Linked DNA regions of Neurospora crassa OR74A. The protein of the gene in region 1 purifies or fractionates together with the protein of each later gene. This does not show direct contact. Links are inferred from orthologs where the notes say so. Each region holds a gene or a part of one and is shown in the gene's direction. Other genes may lie near its edges.

Region 1 (3,936 bases):
GAGTATGAGACTGGAGAAGCCCACACCGTAATCACCGTAGAGGCCGGCGCCAAATCTCCGTTTTTTGATGGATACAATATCCGGCCCTGAATGTGGTCAATTTGGATCATGAAGCTGAACATGGAACTCTGCGGGCCAAAGGTTCAATGTTTCTATCCGGATGTACGTGGAGGTAGCTTGGCCGAGCTGCCGAGCTCGAGCGGGTCAGGGGGTCGCTGACGCCGTTCTAAGGATCGAACGCGGGGCGGCTCCCACACGTGTGTTTCGGTTCCCAAGTCTCCTCCCGTCCATGCGCGCGGTAAAAGGATGGCCGACGACGGAAGACCGGAAGAATACCTGGACACGACCACGCTGAACACTTGCGGCACCGACATCATGTGCGCGTCTCTGCAATCGCATGTGTCTCGAGGGACAGCGGTTGTCAGACCAGACCTCAACATCGCGATGTCAAAACTGCTTGTTCACTCGCATCGATGTCGACACCGGCATGCATTGACGTCACGGCACCCTTTGGGCCTTTGGGACTACCTAGGTATGTACTTGGCCCTTGCGAGATCCCTAACTCATCCGGGGAAGCCGCCCCTTTTGACAGGTGTGGAAACGTTCCTGCTCCGGGTTTCCAGAAAACAATGTTGGAATTGCCAATTGATGGACGGATTGATAATAGATGAACCCGCCTGCACAATCTGTTCCCTAGCACGTCCTCGACACTCAACGCTCATCATCAATGTTCGTGGAACCTTCGGGGTTGCATGGAGAGTCGGATGGAGCACGCAACCGACTCCAGTAAGGGCTTCATCCAATCTCAGGTTGGATGTGGATCAACGGTTGGGGTTCCTAATTTACCGCAATCCGTCTCGGCTTTGTTGCCTTAGTGCCTCATGCTCTTGGTACGTGCGTCAGGCCACAACACGTCCGACACCTCTCTGCAAGGCTTTCGTTTGCTTGTAAAAAGAAGGTTTTCCGAGCCTTCAGTCACAACAGTTCGAGGCGGGTCATTCGAACCAATCAAGGCGTGATTGGGTGGCTCGAAAAAGTGCCTGCCAGTTCGTTCCTCCCCTCGGGCCACGCATCACAGCCACGGTGCCACAGCAGCACAGCACACAGGCAGCAGGGCAGGCAAACCGAAGCGACGAACGGATGCAATCGAACCCGACAGACGACTCGAGCAGAGTCAAGATCAGGGCAGCCACTACAGCCGAGTACCCACCCATACCTGCACCAACCACCGACCACTGGCACTCCCCCGTCCAGTCCACTTCTTCTACTTCTGCAACGACAACTTTTCTTTCTCCCCGCTTTCCAACCCCAACTCCCTCCTCACTTCTCGCATCACCACCACATCACGCTTTTGTCGTCATCAGCGAAAATAATCTTAAACGCCAACGGAGACCGCCTTCGTCAATCCAGCAATCCAGTAATCGACTAGTCGCCCAGGATTTGTCCATGCATCTCGACTCAGCACACGCTCACCTGGATTTTCTCACTTTCTAGTAGCCTCACAGTAAAAGGGTGCGCCCAGATCACATCCGCGCAGGTCAAGTCCTGATCTTGTCTGCCCTTCGTACAGCTGCTTTCGTTGCGGTTCTTGCACGTCGTCACAGCTATCCCCAGTTGGTGGTTTCCACTTCGCGCGTCACGTCAGAAAAATAAAAAGGACCACCGTATTCTTGCTCGCACACACGCCGGCCAGCAACATATATCTCTGGCCTCTCGGCTTCTCTTTTTTTTGCTAGGACTTTGCACTGGCCTACGGCTTCTGCGCTTGTCTTAAGACGCACAGAAAGGACAGTCTCTTCGTACAAGCTGCTCTCTTCTGAGTACCCGGTGGCGCGGGCAAATTGCAGCTTCGTAACCTCGGTGATATACGTCGAGAAGCAAGGAAAGCAGACCTTGGATGCCGACCTGTTTGAGCCTTAATCAACGTACTCCGTCTTTCCACCCGTGACAAAGGAGCATGGTATTGGCATAAAACCTTTAATCAGCCTTCACCGTATCACAACCGTACTACATCGCAGCTTGTATTTCCAAGCCCAACGGCCAAGTTGATTGCCGACTTCAGCTGGTCTTGCTCGATTTTCAAACAAAAATCATCCATCATGTTGTCGTCACAGGCGGCCGTAGCTGAACTAGAGAAGGGCCTCGGGGACATGCAAAACCTGAAACCGCCCGGTGTCTCTGGCTCGAAAATCAATAGCCTCACCATGCTGTGTTTGAACAACGTCCAGGTAAGAAAAGCGCCGTGTCTGGGCTCGACAGTATGCACGATGGAGGCACCAGAGCTAACCACACATCCTTCGACAGTACGAATCACAGCTGGTTCAGAAGTTATATACCCACTACAAGAAGACACCAAACACTCACAAGCTGGGCGTCCTATACGTCGTAGATTCTGTAACCCGCAAATGGTTGGAGAAGGCAAAGGCCCTTGAACAACCCGTCACCCTTGGTGCACAGGATGGCACCTATGCTGCCGGTGTCCATAGAGTGACTGAACTAATGCCCATGTTCATGAACGCCATCATCTCTTCGGCCCCCGAGGATCAAAAGGTACGCACACAACCGCACACTCATGTGCCGTCTTACACTTATACCTCCATTTCTGCCAAACGGACTAGACCCCGAGCACACTTGGGAGCGGCTGTAAGATCAGGCCACACCAGTCGTCTTCACTTTCCTAGACCATATCGTGCATCCATTTTTGGTTGTATTTAGTGTCCAGTATCATGTTGTTCATAAACTCACACCCGTATCGTCTTGTAGGAGAAGATCAAGAAGCTGGTCGACATATGGGAAAAGGGCCAGACGTTTCCTCCCGATATGGTCAACACCTTCAAGGAGAAGCTGAATGCTCATCAACAGCACAGTAGGTTTTGCCCGGATCCTCCTAAGCATATTCCCTTACGCGTGTGCGGTGCTCGTTGTTTGCCTGATCTAACTGTAGCGTGTGCCGATAGATGTCTCGACAACACCACCAGGCAGTCCCCCTCCCAACCCGCTGGCTTCCTTGCAGGCCACTAGCAGACCTCTCCCTACGCCTACAACTACCGCCGTAATGCCGTCCAACATCCTGGAGACCTTAGCAAATCTTGCCCGCTTGAATGCGAATGCGGCTCAGAGTAATTCCAGCGCGGCCGCCCCTGCTCCCGCCCCGGCCGCAACTGCGGCTGTGGCCCCTTCTCCGGTACAAATGGGGGTCCCGCAGATTCCTCCTGTTACTTCTTCCACGCCGCATCCCATGTTTGCTACTTCTGGCCAGCCTAGCAATGGAGCATTGCCAGCCGGATTTCTTCCCGGTGTGGGGCACCCGGGTATGCCGTACTTATCAGCATCGCAGCCGGCGGGGCAGTCGGTGAACATGCCACCGACGATGCCATTTGGCTTCCCAGCTCCGGCCGCACAGCTAGCTCAGCCTGTGCAAGTGCCAGGAGCAGCCCCTAGTGCGAATACCGCTACGACGGTTCAGCTGTTCGCCGCCCTCGCCGCCCAGGGCATCCCTCTTGACAAGATTGCCAGTGTAATGCAGCTGATGGGTCAACCAAGTGGCACCGCCCCGGCAGCACCTCCCCAGTCCGTTGCTCAGCCTCTATATGCCGGCTATCCTCCTCCTCCCCCTGCTGGCGGTGTATCTGCTGCCCCTGCATGGGAGGCCGTGAGACATGATGAATCACGTGATCGTAATGGCTATCATGATGGGATGAGGTCTCCAAATAGGCCTCGGGGTCGCTCTCGCTCACGCTCGCCGCGGCGCTGGGATGTCAGGGGGTCGCCTCGAGCCCGCGGTAACGATCGCTTTGATTATGGGCGGAGCACCCCGCCCCGTGGCCATCCGGATGATCGTGGTAGAGACCGGGATATGCGTATTCCCGAGTACCGACAACGGTCGCCCCCCAACCGTAGACATGAGAGCCCGGGTCAGGAGCCGCCCTCCGAGAA
Region 2 (3,732 bases), on another chromosome or scaffold:
CTATCGAGTCAATTTCGTCGATGATTTCGGAAGTTGTCGAGGGAAAGGCTTCTAGCCAGGGCGTGAGCATGCCGACTCTTTGGACGCCTTGGCCTGTATATCTCATGGCTGTCAGCATCGTTCTCTGTTCAAAGCAGGACAGCGCACTACTACTACTACGAACCTGGAAAGAAGATGGCCGTCTTTGGCCGCGTGTCTGGTACCGGGAGATGTGTCGCATGTCCTCTACGCTGCCGTACCGCTACCGAGCGCGGTAATGGTGATATCCTGAGGGGTATTTTTGTGGTGACATTGTTGCATGTGAAAGGAGGAAGCGCAAGCGCAGGCCGACGAAGGGGCCCTCGCAAAGGCATATCGGTGTATATGGACCTGGAAACCTCGATTGGTGCCCGTCCCAGGCCGTCCGTCCGTTCGGTCCGTCCGATCTACCGCGTAGTGTAGTGAATCGGTTTCGGAATCTTGGTCTGGTTTCACTGACAGTCTTGGGATGATCCACCGCTATGGTTCCCGATATGTAGTCGATATCCGATCGGCGCCAATCCGAGTAGCACACGGTTATGTCGTAGTCTGGTGGAATCCGACGTCGTGGTAGATGACGTGAATCTCGAATTCAAACAAGTCAGGTATGTTTGACGGCGTGAACCCGCAGCAAGTAAACAATGGGAGCAAATCAAAGAGCAGGACGGACGGGACTACTAATGGCCGTTCAAAGGGATGCCAGCAACTGGTGGAAGAACACGGGATGATCGGCTTTCAACGGTAGCAACAGTAAGGGCCTCCCGGGCAAGTAGGGACGGGTGTATCCTGCAAGAAGTGGAAGCTCGAGAGTGCTGTGTAAGCAGGTACGGACACTGAATCGCGGTAGGTAGGGGCTTACGAGGGCGGTCGAGTCGGTCATCAATGGAAATCTCGCTCTCACTCAACAAACCGCCCTGGAAATCGACAACCGCGGCCGGGAGTGGATCACGCCAGCCAGCGCCCGGGTGGCCCGTTGTCCCGGGGTCTCGGCTTTGTGGAGAAGGTGGGTGGGGTAGTTCCGAACGTCGCAATCTGGATCCATGGCACCTCCAATCGTTGTCACTGGGGCAGGCACTTCACACCTATTCAACGATGACACCCGTCATTGCTGCAGCAGTAGTGTACCTACCTACCGAAGGACCTGACGTGCGACGTCGCCTGGGCTGCCACTGGTGCGGCTACAATACTGTTGGCTTTCAATTTGCAGTAGAAGTAGGTTTGAGGAGGAAAAGGTCCCAGATCCACTCATTGTAGTTACATAAGGTAGTGTAGTTGCTAGATAAAAACCTCAAGGACGCGGACGGGAGGAGGTAAGTACCTGCCCAGCACCTACACAGTACCTGAGTACCTACGTACTTTGCGTGGTGTACCTGCACTGCATGTGCCTCTATTTTGTGCCCGTGCACGACGACAGGCACAACAAAGGCCCCACCAACCGTGTAAAGTTCAATCGTCAATACCGTATCGATTTCAATATCAGAATTTCCAATACGCAAACATTTGAACGTCAACTCATCAACTCCAAAGGGAACTAAGCAACTGGAAGGCCCATACAACATCCTTTGAGGCCACAAGACGAATCGACACAAACAACAAACTTCTGCAGGTCAGGATAGTCACATAGTAGAACTTGAGATTCGAGAAGGTCGACAACGGAACCAGGAAGGAAGGATTCATTCGGACCTTCATCACACCAACAAACACTCAACGTTGAGATCGCCATTTCACACCATCCACAACCACACAACATGCCCATCACAATCCTCCCACCTAAAGCCTTCCGGGACCAACCACCCCGCCACAGCCTCAACCATGACTCCGACGACGTAATGTCCGACGCCACCTCCGACTCTGAAGACTCCGACTCCCAACCGGGCGGCGTCTCTCTCGACGGCGGCGCGACCATCCACCCTCGTAAGCGTCATCGCTCCGGCGCCGGCGCAGCCGCCTCCTCTACCTTCACCAAGCGCCCCAAGACCAACGCTGCCATCAACTCCATCCCGCGCTCCGCCATCGTCACCCCCGGCGAGCGCATCACCACGGACCCCCAATGGATGCGCGGCCACGGCACCTACCTCTCCTCGGCCTCTTTGGGTGAACAAGCCATCACCTCCTCGCTGGCCGGCATCGTGACGCGCACCAACAAGCTTCTTTCCGTCCGCCCTCTGCGCGCCCGCTACACGCCCGAGGTCGGCGACTTGGTAGTCGGCCGCATCGTCGAAGTTCAGGCAAAACGGTGGCGGGTCGACGTCGGGTCCACGCAGCTCGCTGCTTTGCCTCTTTCCGCCATCAACCTTCCTGGTGGCATTCTCCGCAAAAGAACGGAGACGGACGAGTTGCAGATCCGCACTTTCTTTGCCGAGGGGGATCTGGTGGTGGCCGAGGTGCAGCAGCTCTTCCAAGATGGTGGTGCGGTGCTGCACACGCGCTCGCTCAAGTACGGCAAGCTGAGGAACGGGGTGTTCATGGCTGTTTCTGGCACGGGCGGCGGTGGAGGCGTGGTCAGATCGCGCAGACAGGTGTGGACGCTGGAGAGTGCGAATAATGGCGGTCCGATTGATGTGATTTTGGGCGTCAATGGCTATGTCTGGATCTCAAAGCATGTGGAGCCTGTGGTTCCCGAGGAGGCGAAGGGCCAGACGGGCATTACGAACCTCGAAGAGGTGGTTAGTGCTACCATGTATTCGAGCCAGAATGACAGGATCGAGCCCGAGACAATGAGGGAAATTGCGAGGATTAGGGGCGTGGTAACGGCGCTGGTGGAGAATGGATTGCGGGTGGATGAGGATATGGTTACAAAGGGGTATAATGAGGCCGTGGAGCTGGCGTTGGTGAGCGCGGATGGGCCCGAGGATGTGTATTTGGGTGGTGAGAGAGGAGAGCAGCTTGCTGCTGCTTTGACGGCTGTCTAGGTCTAGTTCTAGCTGGGTCTAGGGGCTCGTGTAGTAATGCATTCGGGAACCCAAGAAGAAACAAAATGCTTCCCTATTTGATGGGGTCGCCAATCAGCTTTGAGCCGTTGAAGAGCTTCCATTTATGCAAAACACGACGCTGGTGGTGGCTTGTGAAGCCTCAAAGCCACTTTGATCACAAAATATGGCGGTATCCGGGGAAGTATATCACATAATAGCTTACAAGTCTGCATAGACCACTCGTAAGAGTACATGTAATCATCTTCAGAGCATCTACATGAAAACCAACATCCAACCGTCACCCCCATCACCTCTTCCCCTCCTTCATCTCCCTAACCCTAAACCTCTCCAACCCCACCGGTTCCTCCAGTACCGTCGACTCCCCCATCACAATCTCCGTTTTCTCCTTCGGCCCCGCATTCAACCTCACCAACGGTGATTCCAACGGCTTGCTAACCTCCTTGCCCTCCCAATGCCTCGCCTCCTTGGGCAGCGGCTGCCACCAACCCTCATCGGTCCTAGCATGCCACTGCCTGCTGCACAGCTCCCACAACCGGCTCGTCGCTCTTTTGTACGCAAACCGCTCGTCCTGGCCCGTGAACGCCGAGACGGTCTGGTTGAAGTCCACCTTGCGCGTCAGCGACACTTGCTGCTCCTTACCGAAATCCGAATCCTGGTCCGGGTCATACTCGGAAATGTTTGGACGAAAAGGGGCGATGGAGTCTTGGAACACTTCAGCAATGGTTTCGGAGTAGGTTGCGTCGCCTTCTACTACTGCTGCTGCTACCTGCTCGGTTCCATT

What was found.
Region 2: the proteins of NCU01695 (region 1) and NCU04009 purify together in Saccharomyces cerevisiae (affinity purification with western blotting; 3 studies listed by BioGRID, with this or other methods). This does not show direct contact. The link is inferred for Neurospora crassa OR74A from reciprocal best matches to the Saccharomyces cerevisiae genes NRD1 and RRP4.

What each region holds. Positions count from the first base shown.
Region 1 is NC_026502.1:2,700,356-2,704,291, reverse strand, and holds the start of NCU01695 (RNA binding protein Nrd1), read left to right. Parts: upstream 1-1,136; 5' UTR 1,137-2,099; coding exon 2,100-2,228; intron 2,229-2,304; coding exon 2,305-2,550; intron 2,551-2,763; coding exon 2,764-2,866; intron 2,867-2,957; coding exon 2,958-3,936. UniProt on the Saccharomyces cerevisiae protein: Plays a role in sequence-specific regulation of nuclear pre-mRNA abundance.
Region 2 is NC_026506.1:2,432,413-2,436,144, reverse strand, and holds NCU04009 (exosome complex exonuclease Rrp4), read left to right. Parts: upstream 1-1,483; 5' UTR 1,484-1,766; coding exon 1,767-2,930; 3' UTR 2,931-3,232; downstream 3,233-3,732. Other genes in the region: NCU04010 (malonyl CoA-acyl carrier protein transacylase), read right to left, coding at 1-93, 164-353; NCU04008 (mitochondrial ATPase), read right to left, coding at 3,238-3,732. UniProt on the Saccharomyces cerevisiae protein: Non-catalytic component of the RNA exosome complex which has 3'->5' exoribonuclease activity and participates in a multitude of cellular RNA processing and degradation events.